Cricetulus griseus: one gene and its partners. The protein of the gene in region 3 binds, or shares a complex with, the protein of the main gene of each other region. Links are inferred from orthologs where the notes say so. Each region holds a gene or a part of one and is shown on either strand. Other genes may lie near its edges.

Region 1 (4,787 bases), on a different chromosome or scaffold from region 3:
GTCTACAGAGTGAGTTCCAGGACAGCCAAGTCTACACAGAGAAACAAAACAAAACAAAAACAACTTTATGTGTATATGTGTTTGTGAGTGTATGCACAAGTGTTTGTAGGGCTGTACACACCGGCAGGCATGTGACAGTCAGAAGAGGGTGTTGAATCCTTTGAAGCTGAAGTTACAGGCATTTGCAGATGCTAGGCTTGTTTCATGGGTGCTGGGACCCAAACTTCGGTTGGGTCCTCAAAATTTTGAAGCAATCCTGAGCCATCTCTCTAGTCTTATTTGGTTTTTCTATGCTATACACATATATTAAAATATCCTAAGTCTCAGATTTCATTTAAGTCTTTACATTTTGTGTGTGTGTGCTTGAGTACCATGGCAACACGGCAGTCACAAGACATAGGAGCGGGTTCCCTCCTTCCAGTCTGTGAGTTCTGAGGACTGAACTCAAGTCAGCAGCGCAGCTGCAAGCACTTTTACTCACTAAGCAATTTAGCCAGACTGTGTTTTGTTTTGAGAGAGGGTCTTAAACTTGCTTTTTAAGTGGGGATGAGCTTGAACTTGTGATCCTCTTGTCTCCCATCTCTTATGTGCTGAGATTACAGGCAACCACCACATCCAGCTTCTGACAACTATTTTAGAGACATTTTATTGCTATTCTGTTGCTCTGTGGAGGGTTGACGATTATTTACAAAAGTTTGTCATTGTAGTCTGTTAATTATATTGACTTTCCCATAAACAACTATACTAAAACAAAAACAAACAAACAAACAAACAAAAAATGGGTATTTTGGCTGCATTATGTCTGTGTAACACAAGTGGTCCTAGTGCTTGCAGAGGCCAGAAGAGGGTGCTAGGTCCTCTGGAAATGGAGTTACAGACAATTGTGAGTTGCCATGTGGGTGCTGGAAATCAGACCCCTGTGGTGATATTTTTGTTTGTGATCTAACAAATAAAACTTGCCTGAAGATCAGAGCACAAAGCTAGCCACAGCCATAGAGACCAGACAGTAGTGGTACTGTAAGATGGGAGGAGATGGGAGCAGTGGGATGTTTGGTGAAGAGCATTTGCTAAAAATCCACCGTTCGGACTAGAGAGATGGCTCAGAGGTTAAGAGCACCGACTGCTCTTCCAGAGGTCCTGAGTTCAATTCCCAGCAACCACATGGTGGCTCACAACCATCCCTTATGAGATCTGGTGCCCTCTTCTGGTGTGCAGATATACACGGAAGCAGAATGTTGTCTACATAATAAATAAATAAAATCTTTAAAAAAAATCCACCGTTCACGGCAAATTAAGTAGCATTATTAATAATAGTTTTCAGCAAAAATACTTTTGGTGGTGCATGCCTTCAATCACACTCAAGAGGCAGAGTCAGGCGGCTCTTTGTGAGTTCGAGGCCAGTCTGGTCTACATAGTTTATTCTTGAACATCCAGGACTATACAGAGAAATCCTGACTCAAAAAAACAAACAGTACACTATTTAACAAGTTTGGGTGCTCTGTACCCGGAATCCTCGCAAACTTTGAGGAGCTGGCGGGGTAGCAGGTAGTATACGCCAGGCGTCTACACGGAGTTTTAACTGCTATTGGCTGCGGCAAGAAACGATGCCCCCAATCCCCGCCCAGTAACCCAGTAACCCGCCCTCTCCTGGGATCACTTCCGTCACTTCAGTTTCCGGAAGTCCGGCGTGCCCGGGACCTTCGCGCGGGCTGGAACCAAGATGGAGGAGTACGCGAGAGAGCCGTGGTGAGTGCCGCAGCCTCCCTTGTTGCCCCTTACCCCCCTCCGCCTGCCGCGGTCGGAGTCCCAGGTGCAAGCAGAGCTCCTCGCGGCTCGGCGCCGGGAGCTGGGCAGCTGTGGGTGGTGCGGGCGAGAGTGACCCGGTGGCTTTTCCGCGCTGTGTGCCCGGACCCAGCACCCCGGTGACCTTGTGCCTAGCGAGGAGGTCCAGTGCTGGGCTTCGTGGAGCTTTGGAACCTCCTCCCTATGGCGGGTGCTATCGATCTGGTGCGGGGGTAATAGTGATCCTCTTTGCCCGCTGAGGTGACCTTGGACATGTCCCTAGGCCTTGCTTTGCTCAAGTTTCCACGTCCACGAAGGGAATGTAGATCTCTTAGTGACATACTCGAGGCCTTATTTGTATGGTAATAAGGCCCCCATGAAGAAGCATTTCAAAACAGTAGGCCATATATTTCAACCAGTGTCCAAGGGGTCTGGATAAGCTCCTTGTAGGCTGGAGCGGCATTTCCTGCGTGGAATTCCTGAAGAAAAAGGGACATAAGTGACCATCTGGAAAATAGTAAAAGATGAGCTGCATGTGTTCCCAGAAAAGTCATACACAGAAATAAATTCATTCAGTAAGCGTTTATTAAGTGAGGGCTCTGTGCTTGGCTCAGTGTCCAAACATGAGTAAATCAGGCAAAGCAAAATAGCTGTAAATTGGTGAAATAGCTATTGAATCTCAAGTTGTCAAGGTAAAGCCTCAAGGGTCACAAGCAAATAAGGAAACCTTGATGTTTGGTTTTGTTCAGATTTTGTTTTGTTTTTATTTATAATGAGAAAGAATCAAGCCGGGCGTTGGTGGTGCACGCCTTTAATCCCAGCACTCGGGAGGCAGGCGGATCTCTGTGAGTTCGAGGCCAGCCTGGTCTTCAGAGCGAGTGCCAGGACAGGCTCCAAAGCTACACAGAGAAACCCTGTCTCGAAAAACAACAACAAAAAAAATTGGTATCCTCCGATTGTGCATCTGCCCAGGACTTTATTATTTAGTGGCAGTCTGTGCTGTCACCCTCAAAGATCGGCTTCTGCCGTGTGTCTTCACTCTTCCTCTAGAGAGGGTTAACAGCACTGTCTAAAACAGTATATGGGTTTAATCATTGTCTTAATACTTCTTTGTATGACTTGTTCTCTCAGAATCCTTTAGACCACATAAATACAGTGGAAAGAGTTTACCAAAGTTTGCTTTTAGTTGGCTGTACTAGTTCCTTATTTGTTTTGGGGCAGGCTACTTAATGTCTGTCTGAGCCTTTGTTCACTGTAAAATTCAGAGGAGATAGTCATAATCTTTTTTGTCGAGTTAAAAGATTGTGAATTCTAAAGGAAAATGAGTCATTATTCAGATTCTCGTGGGCAATAATGGTAAGTTTAAAAGTGTTCTTGTTCTTGTAGTGATTGTCCATGGGCTAGCTCACTATAGTGCTTGTCTTTTTGTAGGGAGGGACCATAGGTTTGGGGTTAAGATGGGGTTTTGTTGTGTAACATAGGCTGGCCTTTGACTCTTTAGCCTCCTACCTCTTCCTCCCACGTGCTGGGATTGTCAGAATGTGCCACCACTCCTGGTTCTGTGCTTATCTCTTGAGGCTGTCAGATATACTGAGAAATTTCTTTGACTTTGCTAACTTTAGATTTTGTTGTGACATTATTTATAAGCCTGAGTAAGCCTCTATGTGCTTGCCCAATGAGCATATGAACACTATAGAAACAATACTCTTAGTGCTTCACAGAATTCATTTAGATTTGAAACATGGTAGATGATGTGTGCTAAAAGTGAAGTAGCAGCTTTTTTATTTGGAAGATGGTGGTGGAAGAATTAATTACAACTCTACTAAGAGTTGGCTGAAACAGAATTTACCCTGTACTGTGTGTGTGGCTGTGTGTGTGTGGGGGGTGTGTCTGTGTGTGTGTGGGGGGGTGTCTTGTATCTGTGTCTGTGTGTCTGTGTATATGTATATGTGTGCTGTGTATAAATAGGCTTTGTGCGATATACCAAGAAAAACTTACATAAATCTTTACGGTAATACAATTGACTTAACAAGGCTGGAGATGTTGTGTGTCAGGTCCTAGGTTCTATAAAGACCTTTATTAGCCAGATTCCTAGAGTAGGAGTTTTGATCTCTTGATCAAATTACTTATATTTCAGTGTTGTGTGAGTTAGGGTGCAACATTATTAGGTATTAGTCTAGTGTGCTATAAAGTTTAAAATGCTGTTTTGAACTTAGTTATCCTGAAAAGACTTCAGACCTTTTTGTTTGTTTGTTTTCTGTTTTTTGAGGCAGGGTTTCTCTGTGTATCTTTGGAGCCTATCCTGGCAGTCACTCTGTAGACCCGGCTGGCCTGGAACTCACAGAGATCCACCTGCCTCTGCCTCCCGAGTGCTGGGATTAAAGGCGTGCGCCACTAACGCCCGGCTAAAAGATGAGATTGTTAAATCCTTCTGCCTTTGAGGACTTGAGACTGAATAGCTATGGATATGTTTAGTGTCTTTGCCCTTATTTTACAACCTAAAAGTTTATTGGTTGCAGTAGACTCCACACTGGAACCTGTTGCATTCCTTCTTTTATAAAGCAAAGAAAATTTTATGGTTTATATGGTTTATGAATGAGAAATAAGATCCTCTTTCTCCCCTTCCTCCCATTTTTAGCCCCTGGCGGATTGTGGATGACTGTGGTGGTGCCTTTACCATGGGTACCATAGGTGGCGGTATCTTTCAAGCCTTCAAAGGTTTTCGAAATTCTCCAGTGGTGAGTGAATGATTGGTTTCATTTTATCTTCACTAGAAACCAGGGCTGGTTGGTCCCATCGGTGGGTTAGAAATATATTACACTTATAATCGTTTGTTCTGTTTTAATCTATTATTATTATTATTATTATTATTATTATTTGTGTGTATGGGCATTTTGCCTGAATGTATGTTTGTGCACTGCTTGTTGCCTAGTGCCCGTGGATCAGATCCCCTGGTACTGGAGTCACAGACAATTGTGAGCTGCCTTGTGGGTGCTGGGAATTAA
Region 2 (4,863 bases), on a different chromosome or scaffold from region 3:
GTGTGTGTGTGTGTGTGGTTTTGTTTTTTGGAGACAGGGTTTCTCTGTGGCTTTGGAGCTTGTCCTGGAACTCATGCTGTAAACCAGGCTGGCCTTGAACCGAAAGAGATCTGCCTGCCTCCACCTCTGGAGTGCTGGGATTAAAGGCGTCCACCACCAATGCCTGGCTAGCTTTATTTTATTTTATTTTGAAGACTGGGTTTTGGGCAAGTTGCCATGGCTGGCCTTGATCTCCTGGGCTCAAGTCATCTTCGTATATTGTCCTCCTAAGTAGGTGATCCTATTGGTACTTGTCACCGTGTCCACTTGATTCATGAGTTAAATTAAACTCTATTCACCAGCCTTACACATCACACAGTACTTACCAAGCAGTAGTAATGGGTATCAGTAAAGTGACATTGAGATGCCTTCCAGGCCATGCAAGGTATCAAGTATCAACAATAAAGCCTATCAAGGAGATATACCTCAATAGTACAGCACATCCAAGAGTTTGGATTTGAACCCAGCAACGCAAAGGGCGGGGGGAAGGGTGTGCGCTTTGGGGCTGAGGATGATGGTAGAGCGCCTGCTCGGCATGCACCTTGGGTTCGACAGGGCGAGGGGCAGAGGTGGGGGAGCTAGAGAACAGAATAACAGACATCTGTTAACACTGACACACGGTATTAGATGCTATTAGCTTTCTCACCGGGCTCCAGATGTTTGAGGATGCCCCTCTTCGCCAAGCGGGTCTGCAGTGCAACAGGGAGCGGCATTGCGGGTTGCTGACCAGACCTAGGAACCGACAGAAGGCAGTGAAGGGCAAATCCGATAAACATTTCAATCAGGATATCCAGTAACCATGCGTCACACTACAGCATGTGCTCATTTGACCCCCCACCTACCTAACTGCGCCAGCAGCTGGAAAGACAGCACAAAAAATGCGTGCTAAAAGATGAAAGAAGTACGTGGCAATACGGTGAGGACTAGTACCACCAGAACTCTACTGACCGGGGCACTGGGGACCGGATGCACCGAAGACCCAGTTCCTCTTCAGGCCAAGGCTCCACCCATCGCCAGAGGGACCAAGCGGAGCTCACCCGCAACCCAGAAATGGGATCACCCAACGTCCCTCTAAGTCAGCACTGTGGGAGGAACCAAGGCGCTGGGATGGGGGTGCAAAAATGCCAACACCATCTTCAGCTTTAAAAGAAAGCTTCCACCTCGGCGTTAGCAGTGCAGCTATGCGGATAATCAAAGTCTGTCACCCTGTCCTCCTCCCCCTCTTTGTCACTATGCTTACCAATATCGAAGGGCTCTTCTTTTAAAGCACAAAACGCTCCCCACTCTCCCCAGGTGTAGTTAACTGGTCGACTCCAGGGCTTGCAGTGAACGGATGTGGCCAGCCTGGCTAGCCAATAAGAGTGCGCCTTTGATCTTACGTAAGCAAAGAAAACCAATAGTTTCCTTGGCCTACGTAAGACGCCTCCGCTCTTGTGGGCGTTTCTGGGGGGGAGTGGCTCGTCTGTGCGACTGTCTGCTCCAGGCCAGACGCTGGCGCCATGGAGGAGTACGCTCGCGAACCTTGGTACGGCGATGGGCACAGGCTTCGGGACAGTCCCTGCGAAGCCCAGGCCAACGACGGGAGGCGGGCGGGGAAGGCAACGGCTACACTGTCAAGTCCCTGACTCGGGAGGCTTAGAAACTTTACTGCCTCGGCGCGTCCGGCCTGGCTCCTCCCACTCGGACTTCGCTAAAAACCGCCACAGTGGAGTGTCCCTGTTGGTGCGGTGTGGGACAAACCACCTCACTCTTCCCCTGACTGTTCTCCTAGAGACTTTTTGTGAGCCAAAAGAGAGACGCTGGGCAAATCCATTCCGGCAGAGGGGGAGGAGAGGCGTGGAGCCAAAACCCACAGTTTCCTCTCGTGGCCTTTCCCAGACTGGTTTTTGACTCCGGTTAGGGCATGTTCATGAATCCACTGTGGGTTAAGGGGTGGGGCCTGGAGCTTCCTCATGGCTTTTGATTTTTCCGTTTTAAATTTTAAAATGACACTGTACAGGGGCTTCCTTGGACGTGCTTCTCCCCCCCCCACCCCTTCGGGGAACAGAGTGCCACCCTGTTCTGCTTTACTTAAATAACATTAGGTAGTTACCACTGTTGAAACCTGCCAACTCTTTGTACATATCAATCCATTTGATTTTTGACAGCAACAAAACAGTTGGATTGATGCTCAGTTGTAATCGAGAGCAATATTCTTCCAGTAATAAGCCCAGCATTTGGAAGGCTATGTAGTGAGGCACCTCCCTCACTCTCAAAAAGAAAAAGAAAAAAAATGTTTTCCCACTTTTGCGCCATAGACAGATTTACAAACGTTTTTGGTTTTGTTTGTTTTGAGCCAAGATCTCACTGTGTAGCCCTGGCTGGCCTGGAACTCTGACTAGGCTGACCTTAAACACACAGATCAACCTGCCTCTGCATCCCAAGTGCTGGGATTAAAGGCATGTGCCACCACGCTCAGAGCAGAAAACCTTTTTCTCTTTTTGGTTTTGGTTTTTCAAGACTGGGTTTCTCTGTCTATCCCTGGCTGTCCTAGAACTCTCTTTGTAGACCAGGCTGGCCTGGAACTCAGATCTGCCTGCCTCTGCCATGCTAGTACTGGGACTAAAGGTGTGCACTACCACTGCCTGGCTGCACAAACTTTCTTTTTAGGACAGGGTCTCCATTCATAGCCCAGGTTGGACTCCAACTTGTGATCCTCCTGCCTCATCTTCCCAAGCATTGTGCTTACAGGTATGTAGAACCATGCCTGGCTTTCCTTTCTGGCTTTATGGGTCATATTAAAAACTGACAGAACTGCCTGGTGGTGGTGGTGGTGGTGGTGGTGGTGGTGCCAGCCTTTAATCCCAGCACTCAGGAGGTAGAGGCAGGCAGATCTCTATGAGTTTGAGGCCAACCTGGTCTACAGAGCAAGTGCCAGGATAGGCTTCAAAGCTACACAGAGAAACCCTGTCTCAAAAAAACAAACAAAAAAAGAACTGATTTGTTATTATCTGAGGTGTTTCTTATCAGTCATGACCTTCCTATTTTGGTTCTCCAAGTTCCAAAGAGTCCAGGCTTGGCAGGGCAGAGTCTCACAGTAACTCTATCTTTTCCTTCCTGCTTGCAGCCCATGGCGAATTGTGGATGATTGCGGTGGAGCCTTCACTATGGGTGTCATTGGTGGTGGAGTCTTCCAGGCTATCAAGGGCTTTCGTAATGCCCCCGTTGTGAGTTGGGCCTTCCTTGGTGGTGTGGGAGTCTGCAGTCTTACTGACATAGAATACTGTTCTGAAAACACATTCATTCACCTACTACTACACATTCACCTACTATTGGCTCCTGGCCCTATGATTTGCGTACCTCTGTTCTTCAACTATCTAGCTGGAGCTCCATGGAAATGCTGTACTGTCAGAAACAGTCTTAGGAGCTAGAAGCATATGTAGGTGGAGTTTTTGTAGGGACTCTGATCAGCTGTTTCGACAGCTGCTTCCCAATTAACCATTCAGACTTATTGTTAATTATAAATGCTTGGCCAATAATTCAGGTGTGAGCCAGGCGGTGGTGGTGCATGCCTTTAATCCCAGCACTCGGGAGGCAGAGGCAGGCAGATCTCTGTGAGTTCGAGGCCAGCCTGGTCTTCAGAGCGAGTGCCAGGATAGGCTCCAAAGCTACACAGAGAAACCCTGTCTCGAAAAACCAATAAAAGTAATAATAATAATAATTCAGGCGTGTTACTAACTAGCTCTTACAACTTAAATTAACCCATTTCTATTAATCTGTGGCTCATGGCTTTTACCTCTCCTGCATGTCCTGCTTCCTCTCCAACTGGCTGGTGACTCCTCTCACTCCACCCTCCTTCCCAGCATTCTTTCCGTCCTGAAAATCCTGCCCATCCATAGTCCAATCAGCTTTTTATTAACAATGAGAGTAATAACATTTATAGTATACAAAGATTGTTCGAAGCAAGTATATAACTCAGTGGTAGAGTAGTTGGTTCATTCCTTAGCAGCAGAATAAAAAGAAAAAGGCTAGTATAAAATCTTAAATGTGTATGCAACATAGATTTTACCTCAAAACAGGACACTTTTTTTGTTTTTTCAAGACAGGGTTTCTCTGTAGGTTTGGAGACTGTCCCAGAACTTTCTTTGAAGACCAGCCTGGCCTGGGACTCACAGAGATCTTCCTGCCTCTGCCTCCTGAGTGCTGGGACTTTAGGCATTCGCCACCACTGCCTGGCATGATTTTACCTCAAAACAGACTCTGGGTTAAAATCCTCTATATAGAAAAATGACAGTAGTTTGACAGAGAGAACAGCCTTTAAATTGAATTGGGGGGCCCTTTTAATATAATTCTACCTTGTCCCTGAAGCTCCCTACCCTTGGAGATCTCATTAGATGTCACTGTTGTAAAAGCAATTATGAGCTGAGTGATAGTGGTGCACACCTTTAATCCCAGCACTTGGGAGGCAGAGGCTGGTGTATCTCTGTGAGTTCCAGGCCAGCCTGGTCTTCAGAGAAAGTTCCAAGACAGTCTCCAAACCTATAGAGAAACCCTGTCTTGAAAAAACAAAAAAAGCAATTATGGGGAAGGGCTGGAGATAAGTCTCAGTGGCTAAGAGTACTTGGCTTTGTAAGCATGAGAACCTGAGTTTGATTCCCCAGCACCTATGTCAAAAGTCAGGCATGGCTGCCTGTGCCTATAACCCCAGCATTAGAAGGGGTGAGGCATAAGACAGGTGTATCCCATGAGCTTGCTGGCCTGTCAGCCTAGCTGGAAGTGGAGCTTGTGGTTCTGTTAAAGACCCTGTCTCAAGAAGAAAAGCAATAGAAGACCCTAACGTTCTTC
Region 3 (5,098 bases):
GGCTAAGTGAAGATCAACTCAGTGTTCCCCAGGGATCTCCTGTGCTCCTGCAGTCATGTTCCCAGCCCCCTCAGTGGTGGATTCTAAGCCAGCACTCTACCACTGGGCTGTCTCCAGCCCTGCAGTCTTATCTTGAACGCTGACAGCAGTGAACCCAGGATTGTTTCAGCAAGTCTGATAACTCAGGCGCAGGAATGAGCGCCCTAACAGAATTAGGCTTTGTACCTTGGTCTTTTCCATATTTGATAGGCCCAAGTCTTCACAAAGGGTAGGCATATGACTCAAATCACAGCACTTGGGACAGGGCAGGAGGATCAGTCTTCCTCGGGTGCATAGGTCAGCCTCAGCTACATGAGACCCTGTCTCAAAAAAAAAACAAAAAACCAAAAGCTGGTGAGATTGGTCTGTGGGTGAAGGCACTTGGACTCCTTTAATCCCAGCACTAGGGGAGTTAGGGGCAGGTGGATCTCTATGAGTTCTAGCCAGCCTGGTCTACATAGACCCTGTCTCGAAATAAAACTAATTTTAAAAATTCAGACATAACATGAAGTCCTATGTCCCCTGTACCCACTTACAGTATGTAAGGCCAACAGGAACTCACCGTGTCAAGGAAGTGTCCTAACCACTGACTTTGGAAACATGTCCTCCAAGTCAACCATAAGGGAGACAGCCTTGGTTCAAATGAGCCAGGTTTGATTTCCGGACCCCCAGGGTGGAAGGAGAGAGCCGTCCTCCACACCCTGTGGCACAAGGGCGCACACACTCAAACACACATGTAACTTAACAGAACCCCAATCTCTTTCTTCTTTTTTTGTTTTGTTTTTGAGACAGGGTTTCTCTCTGTAGCTTTGGAGCCTATCTTGGCACTGGCTCTGGAGACCAGGCTGGCCTCGAACTCACAGAGATCCGCCTGCCTCTGCCTCCCGAGTGCTGGGATTAAAGGCGTGCGCCACCAGTGCCCGGCCCCAATCCATTTCTTTCCACCCCAGAAATAACCATTTCTCTGAATTCCTTTACCCAACTTTGTATTTTTTTACTATCTTAGTACTTTTTTTTAAAAAAGATTAAATGTAGGGGCTGGAGAGATGGCTCAGCGGTTAAGGGCACTGCCTGCTCTTCCAGAGGTCCTGAGTTCAATTCCCAGCAACCACATGGTGGCTCACAACCATCCGTTATGAGATCTGGTGCCCTCTTCTGGCACGCACTGTATACATGATAAATAAATAAATAAATCTTAAAAAAAAAAGTTTCAATGTAAAAACCTGGCTTTTCCACCATTAAAAACAACTTGGGGGACATTCCTGGTGTCTTCCTGTACCCCAGATTCACTGATTTCTTATTCAGTCTTCAGTCAGCACGCACTGTTCCTATGGGTGAGTGAAGGAAGCCAAGTGAGTGATACGATCTCCAGCCCTTTCGAGAAACACATGGTAGAAGGGGTTAAAAAGTGATCTGGAGACGCGAGAGAAGACCGCTTCAGCGTGGGGGGAAAAAAGAAAAAAAAAAAAAAAAAAAGCGAGGGCTGCCGGTTGAGCTCGCTTTTTGAGCATCTGTCCATCTCTCACGCCTATGTCCCAGCGACTGGGCGGCGGCGGAGGTCCTTAGGGCAGGCACCAGGGGGGCGTGGTGACAGATGGCCCCATTCCAGTTCAGCGTGCTCCGCGGGCGCGGGGGCGAGGGCACTGACAGCCCCGGACTAGCGGTCCGCGGAGAGCGCAGCCGGGGAGGGGGACTCCGCCCACACCTTTTTGTCCCGCTCGCCTTCCCGTCCACACGCCGCACCTCAGCCTCCCCATTGGCCGCGGTCCCCGCCCGGGGGGCGGGAGCGAGCCGGCGAGTGGGCGGGGCCGCGCGGCGTCAGCGCAAGATGGCGGCGTCGGCGGCGTCGGCGGCGCTGCTCTCGCGCTTGCGGAGCGGGCTCCGGGTCGGCGCGCGGGGACTGTGCACGCGGCTAGCGCCGCCGCCTCCTCCCCGCGCCCCAGAGCAGGTGAGTCGGCCCCGGGGACCCCGCCCGACCCGGGGCTTCCCCCCCCCCCCCGTCAGGCTCGGGCCGTCCGGAACTCCGCGTCCCGGGCGCTCACCGTCCCCGAGCCCGCTTTCCCGGCGCCCCCGAGCCTCCCGGGAGCACCACGCCTGCCGCCCGCTCGCCCGCCCGCCCGCCGGGCTGGGGCGCGGCGGGCCCCCCGGTGCATCCTCCGGAGCCCGCGTCCCAGCCTCGTGGCTGCCGGGAGGTCACCCTCGCCTGATGCCGGCGCGGGAGCGGCCCGCCCGGGACGCCGGGGTCCCAGGCCGGCCGGGGGAGGGCGGGACGGGCGGCGTCCGCCTCGGGGGCGGCGAGCCGGGAAGGCTGGCCGGAGACAGCCGTCCTGAGCTCCAGGCGAGAGAGATCGCCTCGCCTCGCCCCGATCTCTTGGGTTTCCCACCCCTCCCTCTGCGGCCCGGGATGTCCGGGTGTCTTAACCGCTCCTCCCGTCCCTTGGGTGCCCTCCGGCTCCCTGGTTTTGCTCTCCCCGCCAGCCCTGACTCTCCCTGCCCTGCTCGCCCTGGCTCCAGACCCTGCTGCAGTCCTGTTGCTTTCAGGATCCCGGGCAGCCCCGCCTGTCAGCCCTCGAACCCCTGTGATCCTCCGGACACAGTTTTATAGTTTTGCCCCTCTGCGGGGACCAACTTTTCCACTCAGCCCTTCCAGGGACACGTTTTTCTGGGGCTCTGTGTATGTCCACGTCCCTCGATCTTGACTCTACTTGGACCGAGTTAGAGGTCAGAGAGAGCCTCCTGCTGTTTTCCTCTTAGCTGACCTCGCCTCCTCCCCTCCGCTCAGGTTGCTGAGATCGCCAGTCGTGGAGGCTCCAAGGCCCAGGGGCCGCAGCATCAGCCAGGCTCAGAAGGTCCCAGCTATGCCAAAAAAGTTGCACTCTGGCTTGCTGGTTTGCTTGGGGCCAGTGGGACTGTCAGCATCGTCTATATCTTTGGTGAGAGACATACCCCTGGCTTGCTGGCCCCCAGATTTCTACTGGGAAACCTCCCCTTCTTTCCTCAAACTGTTCATTCCCTGGCTCCTCCCTCAATAGGGCCTTCAACGGGGATACTCACCTTGAAACTCAACAAGTCCCCTTCTACCCCTTGTACTTAATTAAAGTTCTAGCCTCTAGTTGGTCCCTGTCCCTCCTGAAGTCAGGAACTAAGGGGACAATGGGAAGAATAGGGCTGGCCCAGTGTCTGAAGCTATGTCTTGTGTCTCCCTTCAGCAGCAAAAGCCTAACCTTCCCCTTGTGTGTAATCTCAGACTCGGACCACTTTCTCTCTCTCTCTCTCTCTCTCTCTCTCTCTCTCTCTCTCTCTCTCCCCCTCTCTTTCCTCTCTCTCTCTCTCTCTCTCTCTCTCTCTCTCTCTCTCTTTTTTCAGACAGGATTTCTCTGTGTAAATTTCTCTGTGTAACAGCCCTGGCTGTCCTGGGAACTCAGTTTGTAGACCAGGTCACAGAGATCTACCTGCTCTGCCTCCTGAGTGCTAGGATTAAAGGCATTCATCACCATGCCTGGCTAGCCCACCTTCTCTTAAATATATTGGAATCCTGCCCCTTCTCCCCCCATTCTCTTCCTCCCTTAATCCAGGAGCTGTGCCTCTAGCAACATCCCCTCTGACGGGGTTGTCCAAACCCCTCACTTCCTAACCCTTCCAGACCCAGCAGATTAGACTCCAAGTTTCTCTCATCCGTCTCTGTCTCCCTTGCAGGAAACAACTCGGTGGATGAAAATGGCACCAAGGTGAGGGGCGTTAGACCCAGAGGTGCTAGGGTGGGTTGCTTTTGGTTGGTTCAGGCTCCTTTCTAGTCTGAAATGAGCCCCTCCGCCCCTCCCTCCCTCCCTCCCTCCCTCCCCGGGACCTTTGCCTACTGAGCCTGGAGCTCCTTGAGTGGATGTCCTGGGACCCCTCTGCCAACCCAAACCTTTGCTTTTCTCTCTCAGATCCCTGATGAATTCGACAATGGTGAGTGATTTAACAGATTTGGGAGTCCCTGGTGTCCCCATCTCTGCTATTTTGTTTTGTTTGGAGTGCCAGTTCCTCTGTCCTGTACCCCAGCCCCTCCTCCTCCATGGAGGTTCAACAATTAGATGCTTGGGGGGGCGGGACATAACAAAAGCCCCTCAGCCTGGAGCAGATGGTCAGGAACAGATGGGGGCAGGGGGCCGCAGCAGTCCCTCCCAGATACCGGCTTCCCGGGCCTTAGATCTGGGCATCTGTGGCCCCTGAGTGTTTATGACAGCCTCTTTTTTGTTTGTTTAAAAATCCTTAAGTCCCTATCCCACCCCATGCCTCATTTCTAAAACAATGCCTCTCAGTGTCTGTGCCCTGCCCCTTCTCCAAACATACCCCAGGTTCAGCAGAGTTTGGTGAGGACTTCTGATAAACTAGGTAGTAGAGTAGCTGTGAATTTTAGCTGACCCTTCCTGACAGAAAGTGAAGTTATTGGGTCCACAGAGCCCCCTGGGTGAGATGTGTAAACAGTGAGTACAAGCACTGACTGTGTCACTGGTCGCCAGGCAGGAGACTGAGTCTGCTTTTCTAAGTGCACAGATTTCAGGTCTCCTGGGTTTTTGTTTGTTTGGTTTCTTATCTTGGGTTTTTGTTGTTGTTGTTGTTGCTTCTGTTGTTTATTTGTTCTTATTTATTTTTTGATTTCTTAATTATGTATTCCTGGCTGTTGTGGCACTCGCTCTGTAGACTAGGCTAGCCTCAAACTCACAGAGATCCACTTGTCTCTGGCTCCTAAGTGCTGGGATTAAAGGTGTGTGCCACCATCCCCTGCTCCTCACTGGTTTAAGCAAATTACTTAAATTGGGAAGGTAGACATGGGAGGTTAAAGTGTGTTTACTGGTTTAAACTGGCTTTAACGTTGAGGCCTTTAGGCCCGGCCTTGGTGGCGCATGCCTGGGTCAGCCCTTTCAGCCTAAGCTAGAGTTGAGGGCTAGTGGCCGGCTGCTTTGCTCTTATCTTCACCTTGAAGCTAGCTACAATAACGACCAGCATGGCAAGGTATACCCATAGGCAAAATAATGGTGCCGGGCGTTGGTGGCGCACGCCTTTAATCCCAGCA

The links.
Region 1: Timm50 (region 3) and Timm17a share a complex: the UniProt entries of both Homo sapiens proteins name them as parts of the TIM23 complex. The link is inferred for Cricetulus griseus from reciprocal best matches to the Homo sapiens genes TIMM50 and TIMM17A.
Region 2: Timm50 (region 3) and Timm17b share a complex: the UniProt entries of both Homo sapiens proteins name them as parts of the TIM23 complex. The link is inferred for Cricetulus griseus from reciprocal best matches to the Homo sapiens genes TIMM50 and TIMM17B.

The regions. Positions count from the first base shown.
Region 1 is NC_048598.1:53,936,960-53,941,746, forward strand, and holds the start of Timm17a (mitochondrial import inner membrane translocase subunit Tim17-A), read left to right. Parts: upstream 1-1,662; 5' UTR 1,663-1,720; coding exon 1,721-1,746; intron 1,747-4,420; coding exon 4,421-4,520; intron 4,521-4,787. UniProt on the Homo sapiens protein: Essential component of the TIM23 complex, a complex that mediates the translocation of transit peptide-containing proteins across the mitochondrial inner membrane.
Region 2 is NC_048604.1:114,362,597-114,367,459, forward strand, and holds the start of Timm17b (mitochondrial import inner membrane translocase subunit Tim17-B), read left to right. Parts: upstream 1-1,501; 5' UTR 1,502-1,538; coding exon 1,539-1,564; intron 1,565-2,688; coding exon 2,689-2,769; intron 2,770-3,145; coding exon 3,146-3,245; intron 3,246-4,863. Other genes in the region: Pqbp1 (polyglutamine-binding protein 1), read right to left, coding at 686-752. UniProt on the Homo sapiens protein: Essential component of the TIM23 complex, a complex that mediates the translocation of transit peptide-containing proteins across the mitochondrial inner membrane.
Region 3 is NC_048602.1:7,569,824-7,574,921, forward strand, and holds the start of Timm50 (mitochondrial import inner membrane translocase subunit TIM50), read left to right. Parts: upstream 1-1,633; coding exon 1,634-1,987; intron 1,988-2,821; coding exon 2,822-2,972; intron 2,973-3,735; coding exon 3,736-3,767; intron 3,768-3,968; coding exon 3,969-3,990; intron 3,991-5,098. UniProt on the Homo sapiens protein: Essential component of the TIM23 complex, a complex that mediates the translocation of transit peptide-containing proteins across the mitochondrial inner membrane. Has some phosphatase activity in vitro; however such activity may not be relevant in vivo.